Macaca mulatta: one gene and its partners. The protein of the gene in region 4 purifies or fractionates together with the protein of the main gene of each other region. This does not show direct contact. Links are inferred from orthologs where the notes say so. Each region holds a gene or a part of one and is shown on either strand. Other genes may lie near its edges.

What was found. The genes of interacting proteins can lie anywhere in the genome.
Region 1: the proteins of CEP290 (region 4) and CEP76 purify together in Homo sapiens (co-immunoprecipitation; 5 studies listed by BioGRID and IntAct, with this or other methods). This does not show direct contact. The link is inferred for Macaca mulatta from reciprocal best matches to the Homo sapiens genes CEP290 and CEP76.
Region 2: the proteins of CEP290 (region 4) and NEURL4 purify together in Homo sapiens (affinity purification with mass spectrometry; 3 studies listed by BioGRID and IntAct, with this or other methods). This does not show direct contact. The link is inferred for Macaca mulatta from reciprocal best matches to the Homo sapiens genes CEP290 and NEURL4.
Region 3: the proteins of CEP290 (region 4) and CEP97 purify together in Homo sapiens (co-immunoprecipitation; 4 studies listed by BioGRID and IntAct, with this or other methods). This does not show direct contact. The link is inferred for Macaca mulatta from reciprocal best matches to the Homo sapiens genes CEP290 and CEP97.

Annotation. Positions count from the first base shown.
Region 1 is NC_133423.1:83,348,661-83,350,998, forward strand, and holds the end of CEP76 (centrosomal protein of 76 kDa), read right to left. Parts: coding exon 2,146-2,338; intron 1,129-2,145; coding exon 990-1,128; 3' UTR 505-989; downstream 1-504. UniProt on the Homo sapiens protein: Centrosomal protein involved in regulation of centriole duplication. Required to limit centriole duplication to once per cell cycle by preventing centriole reduplication.
Region 2 is NC_133421.1:8,816,983-8,820,502, reverse strand, and holds part of NEURL4 (neuralized-like protein 4), read left to right. Parts: intron 1-42; coding exon 43-131; intron 132-671; coding exon 672-744; intron 745-909; coding exon 910-1,174; intron 1,175-1,404; coding exon 1,405-1,586; intron 1,587-1,904; coding exon 1,905-1,990; intron 1,991-2,114; coding exon 2,115-2,277; intron 2,278-2,375; coding exon 2,376-2,574; intron 2,575-2,665; coding exon 2,666-2,742; intron 2,743-2,826; coding exon 2,827-2,905; intron 2,906-3,265; coding exon 3,266-3,441; intron 3,442-3,520. UniProt on the Homo sapiens protein: Promotes CCP110 ubiquitination and proteasome-dependent degradation. By counteracting accumulation of CP110, maintains normal centriolar homeostasis and preventing formation of ectopic microtubular organizing centers.
Region 3 is NC_133407.1:181,849,195-181,852,714, forward strand, and holds part of CEP97 (centrosomal protein of 97 kDa), read right to left. Parts: coding exon 3,024-3,520; intron 1-3,023. UniProt on the Homo sapiens protein: Acts as a key negative regulator of ciliogenesis in collaboration with CCP110 by capping the mother centriole thereby preventing cilia formation. Required for recruitment of CCP110 to the centrosome.
Region 4 is NC_133416.1:95,386,602-95,390,749, forward strand, and holds the start of CEP290 (centrosomal protein of 290 kDa), read right to left. Parts: upstream 2,801-4,148; 5' UTR 2,626-2,800; intron 2,521-2,625; exon of another isoform or gene 2,331-2,520; intron 2,045-2,330; 5' UTR 2,018-2,044; coding exon 1,916-2,017; intron 1,750-1,915; coding exon 1,672-1,749; intron 277-1,671; coding exon 207-276; intron 1-206. UniProt on the Homo sapiens protein: Involved in early and late steps in cilia formation. Its association with CCP110 is required for inhibition of primary cilia formation by CCP110.

The DNA.
Region 1 (2,338 bases), on a different chromosome or scaffold from region 4:
TGGGTGACAGAGCAAGACTCCGTCTCAAAAAAAAAAAAAAAAAAAAAAAAACTTTGAAAACGTGCTCAATTTTAAAACAAAAATCAGTATGGAGTCACTCACATATGCTTGTTTTCTGTGGTCTCACATAATCTCTCATTTAGTCACATATATGCTGATTTTTTTATCACAATGAAAAGAAAGAAAAAAGGGTTTCAGAAGATAGAATCCATGAAGAGGCTAGTAATGAATCCTCTGACCACAGAAAATCAGTGATAGACTGCAAGATCACAATTTATCAGTATCGTAACAAAGAGGTATAATAAATTTTTTCTAAAATACCCAGTTCATTTTTACAATGAATCACACTGATAAATATTTCTAAATGATTCATGTACTTTCATATGAGGTTATTAATAGTCATGCTTTTCTGGTATTAGTTTTTTCCTATTCTTGCTTCAAGGTCCAACCTTAAATTTCTGGACAGTCTCAAATATCCCAAGGGCTAGGAATAAACCACAAAAGTGATAATTCATCAACATTTATTTTTACCAATGCAATAAATAAATCTGTCATGAAGTTAATTTCTCCTAATTTGTATAAAATAATCCCATTAACCTGTGAAAAGTAATGATCATATTGATTTTTCTAGGGCTCAAACCCTTAGACAAATCTCTCTTTGATTACCTGTTAGTGTAAAGAAAACTGAATGCATTTTATATTAATATTTAAACTACTGGTAACTGTAAACAAAGTAGCATTTATTAAAATAGAATATACACTTAATTTATACTAAATTCCAGGGAGATTTATACAAGTTTTTCAGCCTTAATTTTTAAAGGAACACATGATTTTTTTTTAAACATTACCAGTCAATTATATACAAAATTGAAACATGCCATTCAAGCCAGATTGTGATTTTAAAATAACAAACCTCTAAATAGCTAAGTAATGTACAATGTGTAAAATTCTAATTACACACAGGTATAATTCTTACATAAATATTGGCCCTATAATACCGAGCGATATTTACAAGCAAACATGATCCAAACAGCACATGCAGATTCAGGGTAAGTAAACACTCGGACACGAACTGCCAGTCGCACTTGGTCTCCACGGCAACAGATTATTTCTTCACAGAAAGGAGATCTATTTAAGAAAAAAAAATTATTCAATTAAGAAGTGACCATACACTTTACTTTCTTATTTGCAAGTAAATCAGTATTTCAAATAATTTTTTCAGGCTAGGCATGGTGGCTCATGCCTGTAATCTCAGCACTTTGGGAGGCCGAGACAGGTGGATCACCTGAGGTCAGGAGTTCAAGACCAGCTTGGCCAACATAGTGAAACCCCATCTCTACTAAAAATTACAAAAATTAGCCAGATATGGTGGCAGGTGTCTGTAATCCCAGCTACTTGGGAGGCTGAGGCAGGAGAATCACTTGAATCCGGGAGGCAGAGGTTGCAGTGAGCCAAGATTGTGCCACTGCACTCTAGCCTGGGTGACAGACTGAGACTCCATCTCAAAAATAAATAAATAAAATAATTTTTTCAAATTCTGTCTCTGCTATCAAAGACACTATAATTTTGGTCAAGCTATTCAAATTACAGACTATTTCCTTATAGTCCAAACAAAATCAGAGATACCTGAGACTACACCAAAATCACTGGGAAAATCATCCCAGACTATCTAGGGCTACATTTCAGACCAAATGAATCAAAATCTGTGGCAAGGAGGGTAAGTCACTGAAAAGCTCCCATGTGACTCAGATGTCATTCCTAAATAACTACCAGATTAGGCTGGGTGCAATGGCTCACACGTGCAATCCCAGCACTTTGGGAGGCCGAGGTGGGAAGACTGCTTGAGCCCAGGAGTTCAAGACCAGCCTGGGTAACATAGGAAGACCCCATCTCTACAAAATAAAGATTTAAAAAAAAATAGCCACATATGGTGGCACGTGCCTGTGGTCCCAGTTGCTTGGAAGAGTGAGGTGGAAGGATCACTTGGGCCCAGGAGGTCCAGGCTGCAGTGAGCCATAACTGTGCCACTATACTCCAGCATGGGCAGCAGAGCAAGACCTTGAGTTAAAAAAATAAAAAAAACCCTGCCAGACTGATCTCTAAGATTCCTAAACTGAAAAAAGGATTCCATAAATTACACCTTACCGAAGACATGTGGCAAATGCACGTCTTGCATTTCTATACACAAAATGTATTGGGAACCCTTTAAATGTGTGACCATCAGGCACAGCCCTTCTTATGGCATCTTGAAATTCTTCATTGCCTGCTGAAATACTTGTTGTACGCTCAAATTCATAAGACGCCAAAGCTGGTGATAAAAGGTAGGAGAGCTGGTCTT
Region 2 (3,520 bases), on a different chromosome or scaffold from region 4:
AGGAAGCCCCGTACTTGAACCCGCGTGTCCACCATCACCCAGGCACCATCATGATGAGCGGCTGTGGGATCCTGACCAATGGCAAGGGCACCCGCCGGGAGTACTGCGAATTCAGTCTGGATGAGCTGCAGGTGAGGGTGGCACACAGATCCTTGGACCACTTTCCAGCAGAGCCACAGGTACTCTGTGACCCTGCCAGGGCACCAAGCAGGGTCTCCTGTGTGACCTAGAGCCAGTCCCTGTATCTTCTACCTAAAGGTTCCTTCCGAGAAGGCAGAGTTGCCCAAGAGTTCAGCACTCAGATTTTGGAGTCAGATGGTTGAATTCCTCTTACTGTTTTCCCATTTGTAGTGGCGAACCGAGGCAAGAAGCTTATCCTCTTTCATTGCTCCCCCAGCCCCTGCAATCTCTAAAATGAGCCTACAAGTAGTACTCATTCCATAGGCTGAGACTTGTAGAAGCTGATGTCTGTGAGGTGGTTTAACTCAGTGCCTGACTCACGTGGAGCATTGAGGAAATGTAGAAACTGTCATGTCTGGAAAACAAGGACCCAGGACCCGTCCTCCAGGATGGTCTGAGACTGGCGAATGCCTTCTGGAGTTGTTCCTGTGTGGAGTGGGGTGCTCGGCAGGCCTCGGGACTCCTCTGAACTATTCGTCTTCTTTGAGTAGGAGGGTGACCACATTGGCCTCACAAGGAAGTCCAACTCTGCCCTGCACTTCTTCATTAATGGTATCGATCAGGGTAAGGGTCGCTCAGAGAGGGCCTCTGGGCTGGGGCTTTCGGTGAGGCTGGGACTGGGGGCTGTACTTCATCCTCCTGCTTCTCTTTGGTGCTTGGTCTCCGTGTTTGACTTTCTCCCCTCATTCTCCCTGCCCACTCCCACACCCCCGAACCTTCCTGCAACAGGAGTGGCAACCCCCTTGACGCCCCCAGTGGTGTATGGCGTGGTGGACTTGTACGGGATGGCTGTGAAGGTGACCATCGTCCACAATAACAACCACAGTGACCGTCTCCGCCGCAACAACGCCATCCTGCGGGCGCTGTCCCCCGAGGGCGCTCTCCGCCGTGCTGCCCCTGCCGCTCAGGCAGAACCTGAGCGCCTGCTCTTCCACCCCAACTGTGGGCAGAAGGCAGCCATCACCCACGAGGGACGCACTGCCCTGAGGCCCCAGTATGGCCCATGGGGTGGGGAGAAGCCTGAAGAAGGGGTTCTAATGGGAGGGGGCCAGGGCACGGAAGTAGAAGGCAGAGGGAGCCTGGCGGGGGCAGCCTGGCGGGGTGGAGGTTGAGGTTGAGTTCTTTGGCTTGGGGCCGTGAATGTTGGCAGGCATTGCTGGGCTAAGCCTTGGCACGTTGAGAGCGTGTGTTGGGGATCTGACTCTCCACTTTCTGTTCCCTCAGTGCCACCGATGACTTCAATCATGGCGTGGTGCTGAGCAGCAGAGCCCTGCGGGATGGAGAGGTGTTCCAGGTGCGCATCGACAAGATGGTGGACAAATGGGCTGGCTCCATTGAAATTGGTGTCACCACCCACAACCCTGCCTACCTCCAGTTGCCCTCCACCATGACCAACTTGCGCTCTGGTGAGCTCCCAGCAAGGGCAGGGCCAGGACAGGGTTTTGGGGGGAAGCTGTCCCCAAAGCCCTGGCACTTGTTCTCCAGCTTCTTTTTCACTTGTCACTCTTGTGACCACTCATTCAGTGGCTAGAGAGTGCCCCGTGGGCAGGGCTGTGGCTGTCTTGGAAGCTGCAGAGTTTTGTTGTCCTGCTCAGGGAAGAAAGCTAGTCGTCAAAGAAAAGGCAAGATGGGCTGTGGGCTCAGGAGTTCTGTGGGGGCTGCTATGGAAAGGAGAGGAGCCCTTCCTTTCCCTTCATGTCCTCTACTGCTCCTTGTCCTCCCAGGGACCTGGATGATGACTGGGAATGGGGTGATGCACAATGGGACGACCATCCTGGATGAATACGGGCACAACCTGGACCGCCTCAAGGTGGGAAAGTGGGTGTGCTGCCTGGCGGCCGCAGCGGGCATCACAAACACCACAGGGCTGATGCAGGACCAGCCCCGGCAGGAACTCTGCCTGACTCCTCACTCCAGCACCCCCTTCTTCCAAGGCAGGGGACACGGTGGGCGTGGTACGGCGGGAGGACGGGACTCTCCACTTCTTTGTCAATGGGATGACTCAGGGCCCTGCTGCCTGGAACGTGCCCCCGGGCGTCTATGCTGTCGTCGATCTCTATGGCCAGGCGGCCCAGGCCACCATTGTGGACGACGTGGGTGAGGGCCGGGCTAGGCTGGGGCCGGGGGTTAGGGTGGCCTTGGGAGGTCTGAGAGACACTTAGAGATCTAATGGGTGATGATGTCCACTTTTACAGAGGTGTCTCCAGTTCCTGAATCACTTCCTGAGGGGAATAACCAGGTGTCTCCAAGCTCTCCATCCTCAGGGGCAGGGGGCTCTGACCTGCGTTTCCACCAGCTGCACGGCAGTAACGCAGTCATCACCAATGGGGGCCGCACTGCCCTCCGCCACAACTGTCGCAGCGAGTTTAATGACGCCATCGTCATCTCCAACCGGTCAGTCTCTCAACTTTCATGTCCCCACCTTCCTCCTGCCCAGCCTCAGCCACCCAAGTGGAGCCTCTCTGATCACCAGTCTCCCTGGCAGGGCCCTGCGGGATGGAGAGCTGTTTGAAATTGTCATTCAGAAGATGGTGGACCGCTGGTCAGGCTCCATTGAGGCTGGTGAGGGGCGTCTGTGTGTGTTGGGGGCCGTTGGATGTCTGTGCCTTGGGGGATCGGCCTTGACTTACCTCTGCCTCCTACCAGGAGTGACTGCTATTCGGCCTGAAGACCTGGAATTCCCTAACACCATGACAGACATTGACTATGACACATGGATGCTGAGGTTGGGCTTCCTGCTTTGGGGGCCAGCTTGGGGCTGAGTGGAGCTGGCTGGCATCAGGGAAGCAAGGTTTCGGCCTATGGTGGCTGTGGGCAGTGACAGACCTAGGGGATCTGCCTGTCCCCTCTCTTGGATTCTGGGAAGCCCTGCTCAGGCCCACAGGGGCTCAGTCCTCCTTCATCTTAGGTAGTTCTTGCTTTTCCCTGAGGGGATCCCAGGGACAAACGAGATAGGACTGGGCCTTACACCCAGATCAAGACCCCAGCCCAAGGCATTGGAAGGTTCTGACAGGCAGGGAGTGGGCGGGGGCCAATGTGAAGTTGAAGCTGGCAGGCTGACTCACCCCTTCTGCCATCCCCCCAGTGGTACAGCCATCATGCAAGATGGTAACACGATGCGCAACAATTACGGGTGTGACCTGGATGCGCTGGGCACAGGTGCACGCATTGGCATGATGCGAACTGCCAAGGGCGATCTGCACTACTTCATCAACGGCCAGGACCAAGGCGCTGCCTGCTCGGGCCTGCCTCCGGGTAAAGGTGACTATGTGGCTTTCAGCCTGCCACCCTCAGCCCAGACCACCTGGCTGTCAGGCTTCTGACCTTCCCTCTCCTCCCC
Region 3 (3,520 bases), on a different chromosome or scaffold from region 4:
CAGCCAGGCTGGGCACAGTGGCTCACGCCTGTAATCCCAGCACTTTGGGAGGCCAAGGCATGCGGATCACCTGAGGTCAGGAATTTGAGACCAGCCTGGCCTACATAGTGAAACCCTATCTGTACTGAAAATGAAAAAAAAAAAAAAAAATTAGCTGGGCATGTGGTGGGTTCCTGTAATCCCACCTACTCGGGAGGCTGAGGCAGGAGGATTACTTGAACCCGGGAGGCAGAGGTTGCAATGAGCCGAGATCGCGCCATTGCACTCCAGCCTAGGTGACAAGAGGGAGACTCCATCTTAAAAAAAAAAAAAAAAAAAAATTCCAGCCAGCAAGGTGACTCACACCTGTAATCCCAGAACTTTAGGAGGCTGAGGCAGGAGGATTGCTTGAGGCCAGGAGTTCAAGACCAGCCTGGGCAACACAGACTTCATTTCTTTAAAAAAAAACATTTTTAATTAGCTGGGCATGGTGGTGCACGCCTATAGTCCCAGCTACTTGGGAGCCTGAAGTGGGAGAATCACTTGAACCCAGGAGTTCAAGGTTATAGTGAGCTATGATCATGCCTCTACACTCCAGCCTCAGCGACAGGGCAAGACCCTGTCTCAAAAAAATATAAAATCTAAGATCTACCGTTATTACTCCCTCTCAAATATCTTCAGCTCTCTTGCCCTTCCCCCGCTCTCTCTACAATATCACCTAGGAAAAAAATCATTCCTGGCTGAACCAAATTAACCACACCTGAATCAGAACAGAACAGCTAAGAATTGCCGATGAAAATCATACATCCTGACCTATTATTTTACACTTTTAAGCATTTTCTCACATCATCCAGCAACCCTCCTCCATTTTCCTCATAAGGTCATCCTTAAGATGACTACCTCACACCTCATACTTCTTTCCTTACACCTCCTTCACCCCCTCCTCATTTTCAGGCGCTGACCACATCTTATACATTATTGAAAAAGCAGCAGCAGCAGACAGGACTTTTTCCCATCTCCCACCATCAAACCTACCACCTTACCTGCTCCTGCTCCCATCTGAGGCCACTTCCTCTACTTCAACACTGCATTTCTTCCTCTCTTACCTTCTCAAGAACTGCAATCCTGGCCGGGTGTGGTGGCTCATGCCTGTAATCCCAGCAGTTTGGGAGGCCGAGGCGGGTGGATCACAAGGTCAGGAGAACAAAACCATCCTGGCTAACACAGTGAAACCCCATCTCTACTAAAAATACACAAAATTAGCTGGGTGTGGTGGCAGGCGCCTGTAGTCCCAGCTACTCTGAAGGCTGAGGCAGGAGAATGGCCTGAACCTGGGAGGCGGAGCTTGCAGTGAGCCGAAATGGCGCCACTGCACTTCAGCCTAGGCAACAGAGCAGATTCTGTCTCAAAAAAAAAAAAAAGAACTGCAATCCTGCTCTTCCTCTTTTTTTTTTTTCTGCACCATCAGTTTTTCCCTCCTTATTTATTCATTCCATCAACACATGAACACACTCTGTATCTCTCATCTCCAAAAGAGAATGTTCCTTTAATCTAGATTTCTCCTCCAGATACCACTTAACTCTCTTTTTTCATGTTTTCCTCAAAACAACTCTTTCCAAGAATTGGCTACACTCATCCTTCAAACTCTTTACTTCTTATTCACTATTCAACCCATTCCAAAATGGCCTTCATCCCCCTACACCACTGAAGCTGCTCTTGGGAAGGTCATTGTGCAGTAAAGAGTTAACTCAGCAGGACTGGGATGTTCAAACACTGTACATTGCAAAGATAAGAAGACTGGTCCTTGACTGACTCCTGGGAGATGATCTCCAAGCCCTTGGAATATCCTGACTGAAATAGAATATCTTTATACACCTGGGGTCTTGGTCCACATTAGGTAGTTTAGGCAATCAATGATTTCTAGTCAACATCTGTTGTGTTCACCTGGGGTCCTGAGCCACAGAGTTATCAGTGTGACCTCTAAGTGGCCTGAGGTCTAAATAGTTAAGATCAGTTACATGGGTACTCATTACCTATGAGATTGGCCCACAATAAAAACCCTGGACATCAAAGATGAGGTAACTTTTGCCAGTTGGCAATACTTCATATGTGTTATCATACATCATTGCTGAGAGAATTAAGCCCTGTCTGTACAACACTGGGAGAGAACAACTGGAAGCTTGCACCTCATCTCTCCTGGACTCTGCCCTAGGCACCTTTTTTCTTTACTGGTTCTAATCTGTATCCTTTTGCTGTAATGAACTATAATGACAAACAGAATAATATTTTCCCAAGTTCTGTGAGTCCTTTTAGCAAATCACCCAACCTGAGGATAGTCTGGAGAATCACCAATACAGTCACCAATAGTCTCCAACTGCCAAGTCTAATGCCTGTGTCCTCTCTATGGCACCTCCGATCTCTCCTGAAACAGTTTCTCCTGTTGAAGGTGGAACTCTCCTAGTTTTCCTACCACTCTGGCTGCCCTTTCTCAGTATCCTTTGCTGCCTCTTCCTCTTCTACCTGATAATACCAATAAATATTACTAGTCACAATATTAATGAAATCCTAACTTTCCTGGGTTAGCAGTCAGTAAAACATATGAGCCATGGGATTAAGGAATAATCCTATTGTAGTCCTATAGAATTTTAGCCCCTTCTGAATCCCTGCTATTAATTTTTATGTCATGTACTGAATTCCATGTAGACTTCATCATTTTCTCATTTTTATACTTAGTTTTTCAATGTTTTCTGTACCTTTCTATGTTTAGAATTACAGATCCCTATAAAGCTCACGTTCATTGAACATTTACCACTACACTGCATCTATGTATCAAGTCCTCTGCTGGGGATGGAGATGCAGCAGACAGAACAGATGGTCTCTGCTCTCCAGATGCTTTCAGTACACTGTAGGAGACAACCAAACCAACAGTGGCTACATGGTATGAAAAGTGTTATAATCACAGACGCACAGTGTTCTGAATCAACTGTAAGAATCTAACACCCTCAAACCAGCAAAACAGTACATCGAAAGGACTTATGACCCACCTCCTTATTTCATCAGTTAAGCAGACAATGTGCTCTTGCATTCTGCGTAGCCGGATTTCGTAACGCACATCTTTGGCTTGAGGGTTGTAGTTCCTGGCATAAAATCCCCGCCAACAGGCCTGAAGCTTGGTGGCTGCATCATTTAATTTCTGAAGGGCAACTTTGTCTTGTCCCAAAACAACAGATCTCTGGGTTAAAATCATGGGAACTTTCTCTGAAGTTGCTTGAGATATGGTTTCTTTATTTTCTGGTTGTGTATTTTCTGGTTTCTTTATGTCTGGTTGTTTCTGTCCAGCTGACTCAGGAAAAAATGTAAGACTGTGGTTATCATCCTTCAAGATAGTGCTGATTATTGTTGGCTCAGAACAAGGTAATAGTCCAGCTTTCTCATTTACCTCTGTATTGATTTCACTTCTCATCATTGGAACAGAATTCTCATTTGCAGCCCATAAAGGCTTTTCCTCTTCCTTATCCAACACCTGGCTTTCCAGCCCTTT
Region 4 (4,148 bases):
AGAGTCCATCATGATTATAAGGTAACAAAAAGTATTATACGGCAGATCCATAAAACAGGAGTCTAGAAATATGTATTATTAAATAAATGTTATATATTAAAAATAAATTGAATATATACAGTTTATAGAATTTAATTTTCTACAGCTTAATGAACAAATGGAACTCATTATTTAATAACATAATAAACTTTTTCCAAGGTGCTTACCAAATTTTGCTTGTTCTTCTCCAGCTTTTTCTACTTCCTCCAAAGCCAGCTCTACTTCTTGAGCTTTCATCTAAACATTTAAAAAAAGTTTATTTCAATATGCCTTTAAACTGGAATGTAAGCACTGAAAATAAAAATTTTGTTTTCTTATGCTCATTAGTGCCAGCAATGGCTGGCACATGGAGACTTTCAGTAAATATTTGTTGAATGAATAAATAATTTTTTCTCTCCTTTTTTTTCGCTTTTGAAATAGGGCCTCACTTTGTCACCCAGGCTGGAGTGCAGTGGCACAATCTCAGCTTACTGCAACCTCTGCCTCCTGGGCTCAAGCAATCTTCCCATCTCAGTCTCCTGAGTAGCTGGGACTACAGGTGCATGCCATTATGCTCAGCGTGCCATCATGCTCGGCATGCCATCATGCTTGGTGTGCCATCATGCTCAGCAAATTTTTTCGTAGAGGCAAGGTCTCACTATATTATCCAGGCTGGTCTCCAACTCCCAGCCTCAGGCAATCCTCCTGCCTTGGCCTCCCAAAGTGCTGGGATTATAGACGTGAGCCACCATGCCAGGCAATTTTCTTACTTAAGACGACAATTTCTAGATTTTTAATAGCATGAAACATTTTTGATTCTCCCTTTTACCTCAAGTCCTCAAGTCTTATATCCAGTAAAGCAACATATCTCTTTGTAATGTTTTTCCACTACTTTTTTTCTGTTCCAATTGCTATTATTCTAATGCATAATTTCAGGTTTAAACTCCTCTATAATGTGATGTTTGCAAAGCTCCGATTTCCTTCAGTTTGTCCTATATAATAGACTCAGTTTTGCCTTCCTAAGGCCTATTTTTGTACCTATCAACTGTGGTTCGAAAACGCCTTCTCAATTGCTGACAGCATAAAATACACCTTTAATGACCTCAAGAACCTATCTCAAAGTACCTACCCAAGATTTGTTTTCTCTACAGCCTGCTACAAACTTGCTGCACCGCATTTCCTCAAATGTAAAGAATAAACTTATTTCCTATCCTCAATATTTATTTATGGTAACCAACAGCTCTAGAATTCCCTTACTATCTTACCACTGCATTACCTTCCACTTACCTAAAACTACTCCTCAGTATTCATCCTCTGTGAAGTCTTCTGACACCTCTTAGATCACTTCCCCTCTTAACAAATCCCTATAGCAGTCATTGTCTGCATTTGTCATTTGGACCTCAGGATATATTTCCTTATGTTATTTTTCAACATACTCATTCTATTTCCCCTACATACCCTTTTAGAAACTTTAAGTAGAAACTAGCAATGTTTTACATACTAAAATACTTAATCTACATTTAAATATATTGCACTTTTGAGGGGTGATGTAGATATTACCAAGTATTTTCACAAAGATTACTTTATATAAGAACAGATTTTTATAGTTCCTCTAATAGCCAAACCTATCATTAAAACCTACTACATACAAACCTTCATTAGTGACTGAGTAATTCTGAAAAGGTGTATCACATTTTCTTGCTTTTCACTTTTTAGCTCATTTACTTCCACCTAAGTAAACAGAAAAGCAACTGTTTTATATTTTATAACCTTTAAGCAAAATATAAGAACTCTTCCAGATTGTGACAATTAATAGTTGTTTCTGAAAAAAAAATTCATATTTTATTAATAATCATAAGTTAATGTATATATCTATTATTATTGACCAAGTAAGCACCTTGGATAAGGAAATCAATAAATTATCTGCCAGTTCTTCTTGACGGGGCAGGTCATCTGGGTCAACTTTCATTATTTCTTTCCAGTTTATATTAGGTGGCATCTTGAATTCTTTCACTGTGCTCCACCTCTGTAACAAAACAGGTGGATATTAGCATTTTCAAGGTACACAGCATTATTGGTTTTCTAATAGCCTACATTTTTTGCAGATTATTTCATTATAACTTTCTTATGTTAGCAAAGAACTATGCCTTAGCCACAAAACAGACAAGTGGGCAAAATAGCCTTGATCAAAAATAGCAGTCGGCACAAACTGTCAGAGAGTGTACCGGCTAAATAAAATGTGACGGCTTCCTTGCTAACACTAATATAAGTTAGGACTAAGATTTCTGGGTCCCTTCCTCCACACCGCCTACCCACAACGCGCGCGAACACCCTAATCTTGGCAAGCGCGAGGGTCTGTGGAAGGCTGACAATGATCCTTGATTTGGAGAAGCAGAATTGGGGCTGGAAAAAAAAAAAAAAAAAGAAGCAGAAATTAACAATTGGAATGAGTGAAGTTGTGCGGCGGAAACCGGAACCGAAGTAAGGCAGGATTACGGACCCGAGGCTGGAAGGGACGGGGTAGCTGCGCTGCGGCACACGGGCCCTAAGGCTAAAGAACCTGAACGTGGAGTGACTCGCTGATCCTGCTTACAGGGATCCACCCACCTACACCAAGCCTGGCAACCAGCGGAGGTCCCTCACTACCACAACCACCAAGCTGGACAGATCCCTATCGCGGTTCCACGCGGACTCTGGGTCCAGCCAAATGGTCCCCAAGGAAGCCAAAGCGGCAGCGGCTGCTAAGCGACACCATCCCTAACTCCGCCGGGGCCAGAAGAAGATCCCGGATGCAAAGAGAGCCTACAATTCACGACCGTGGGTGATGCTTTACGTTTAGATTCTCCGCCGGAGTCCCAGGACTCGGTGTTCAGGATGATGAGAAGGCGTGGAACGAGGACTCCAAATCCCAGAGTGCAGATGTGCCTGAGGTTTGTGCATGCTGGGAACTGAAGTCCCTGAGAAGAGGAGATAAGGCGCTCCCGGCGTGCAACGCGGAAGGCTGCGACGGTACCGGGGCGGCGGGGAAGGACCGAGAGGCGGGAGGCGCAGTGGCTGAGGCGCCTACGAGCTGGTGGCCTGAACGAGGTAGACCATGACTGTGGCTTTAGTGGCGTCACTCGCTGGGCCGCTCTTCATGAGGTTTTCCTAAGCCATCCCCTGGCGGAACCGCTTCCAGGTGAGGTCGAGCTGTGGGTCAGCGTATCAGGAGGAGTTGAGGGCAGCAGTCTGGGTTAGAGAAGCTTCTGCTATTGGGGCCGTAGGGCCTGGCCCCATTCTGAAAAAGTGGAAACACCCTGCCTTCTCTTCAGGCGTTTGCAGGCGGCGTCCAAGGTAGTGCCTTCTGTAAGAAGGAAAAAACAAAAAGTTTTAGCCTTGTTTAGTATCAGAATCTTTCTTGGTAGAGTGAGAGCCGCGCAGCCGTGATCCTCGTTTGGGGGCGAGCGAAGAATTGACAAGAGGTCTCGGCATCCTCTGACCCCGCCAGCCTTACCTGTAGCACCATTCCCTTCGCAGATGGTGGGACTTGATGGTTGTGGAGCTAGTATAAAGGGAAGGCTCTAGAGAGGAGAGGTTAGTGCTTGTCCGGGCCACTGCCGGGGGTGGAGAGAGAAGGTACCCGAGGACTCACCTGTACTATTGTCACTGCTTGGTTACCTAGGGTGTCCTTCCATGAAAGCGCCTTCTCTGGTGTTTACCACGCTTACTTGTGCAAGTTTTGCTCATCTGCTCATAGCCATACTGGAGTGCGATACACCTCTAACTAACTTTCCTAAGAAGCTGTAGATTTAAATCTAAATGACATTTCCAACTATCTGTACCAGTGCTTCTCATCTTTCTTTTTTTTTTTTTTTAACGCTGCTTTAAAAAAAATTTTACTATACTTGATGGTAAATTTTCCTTTCGAAAATAAGTAATGAATTTCTTTTTAAACTCCCAATTTGGGTAAAATAAATAGCTCAGTACAAAATAAAAATATACTGGTTTTGTGAGATAAATTTTAAAGACATTAGTTAGATTTATAGGAATGACAATTTTACTACTTTTCTGAAAGATTTTATGCCAAATACTATTCATTATCTTGTTTATTCTTCCTTACAATCCAGTGAAATAGGTGCTTACGTTGTCCT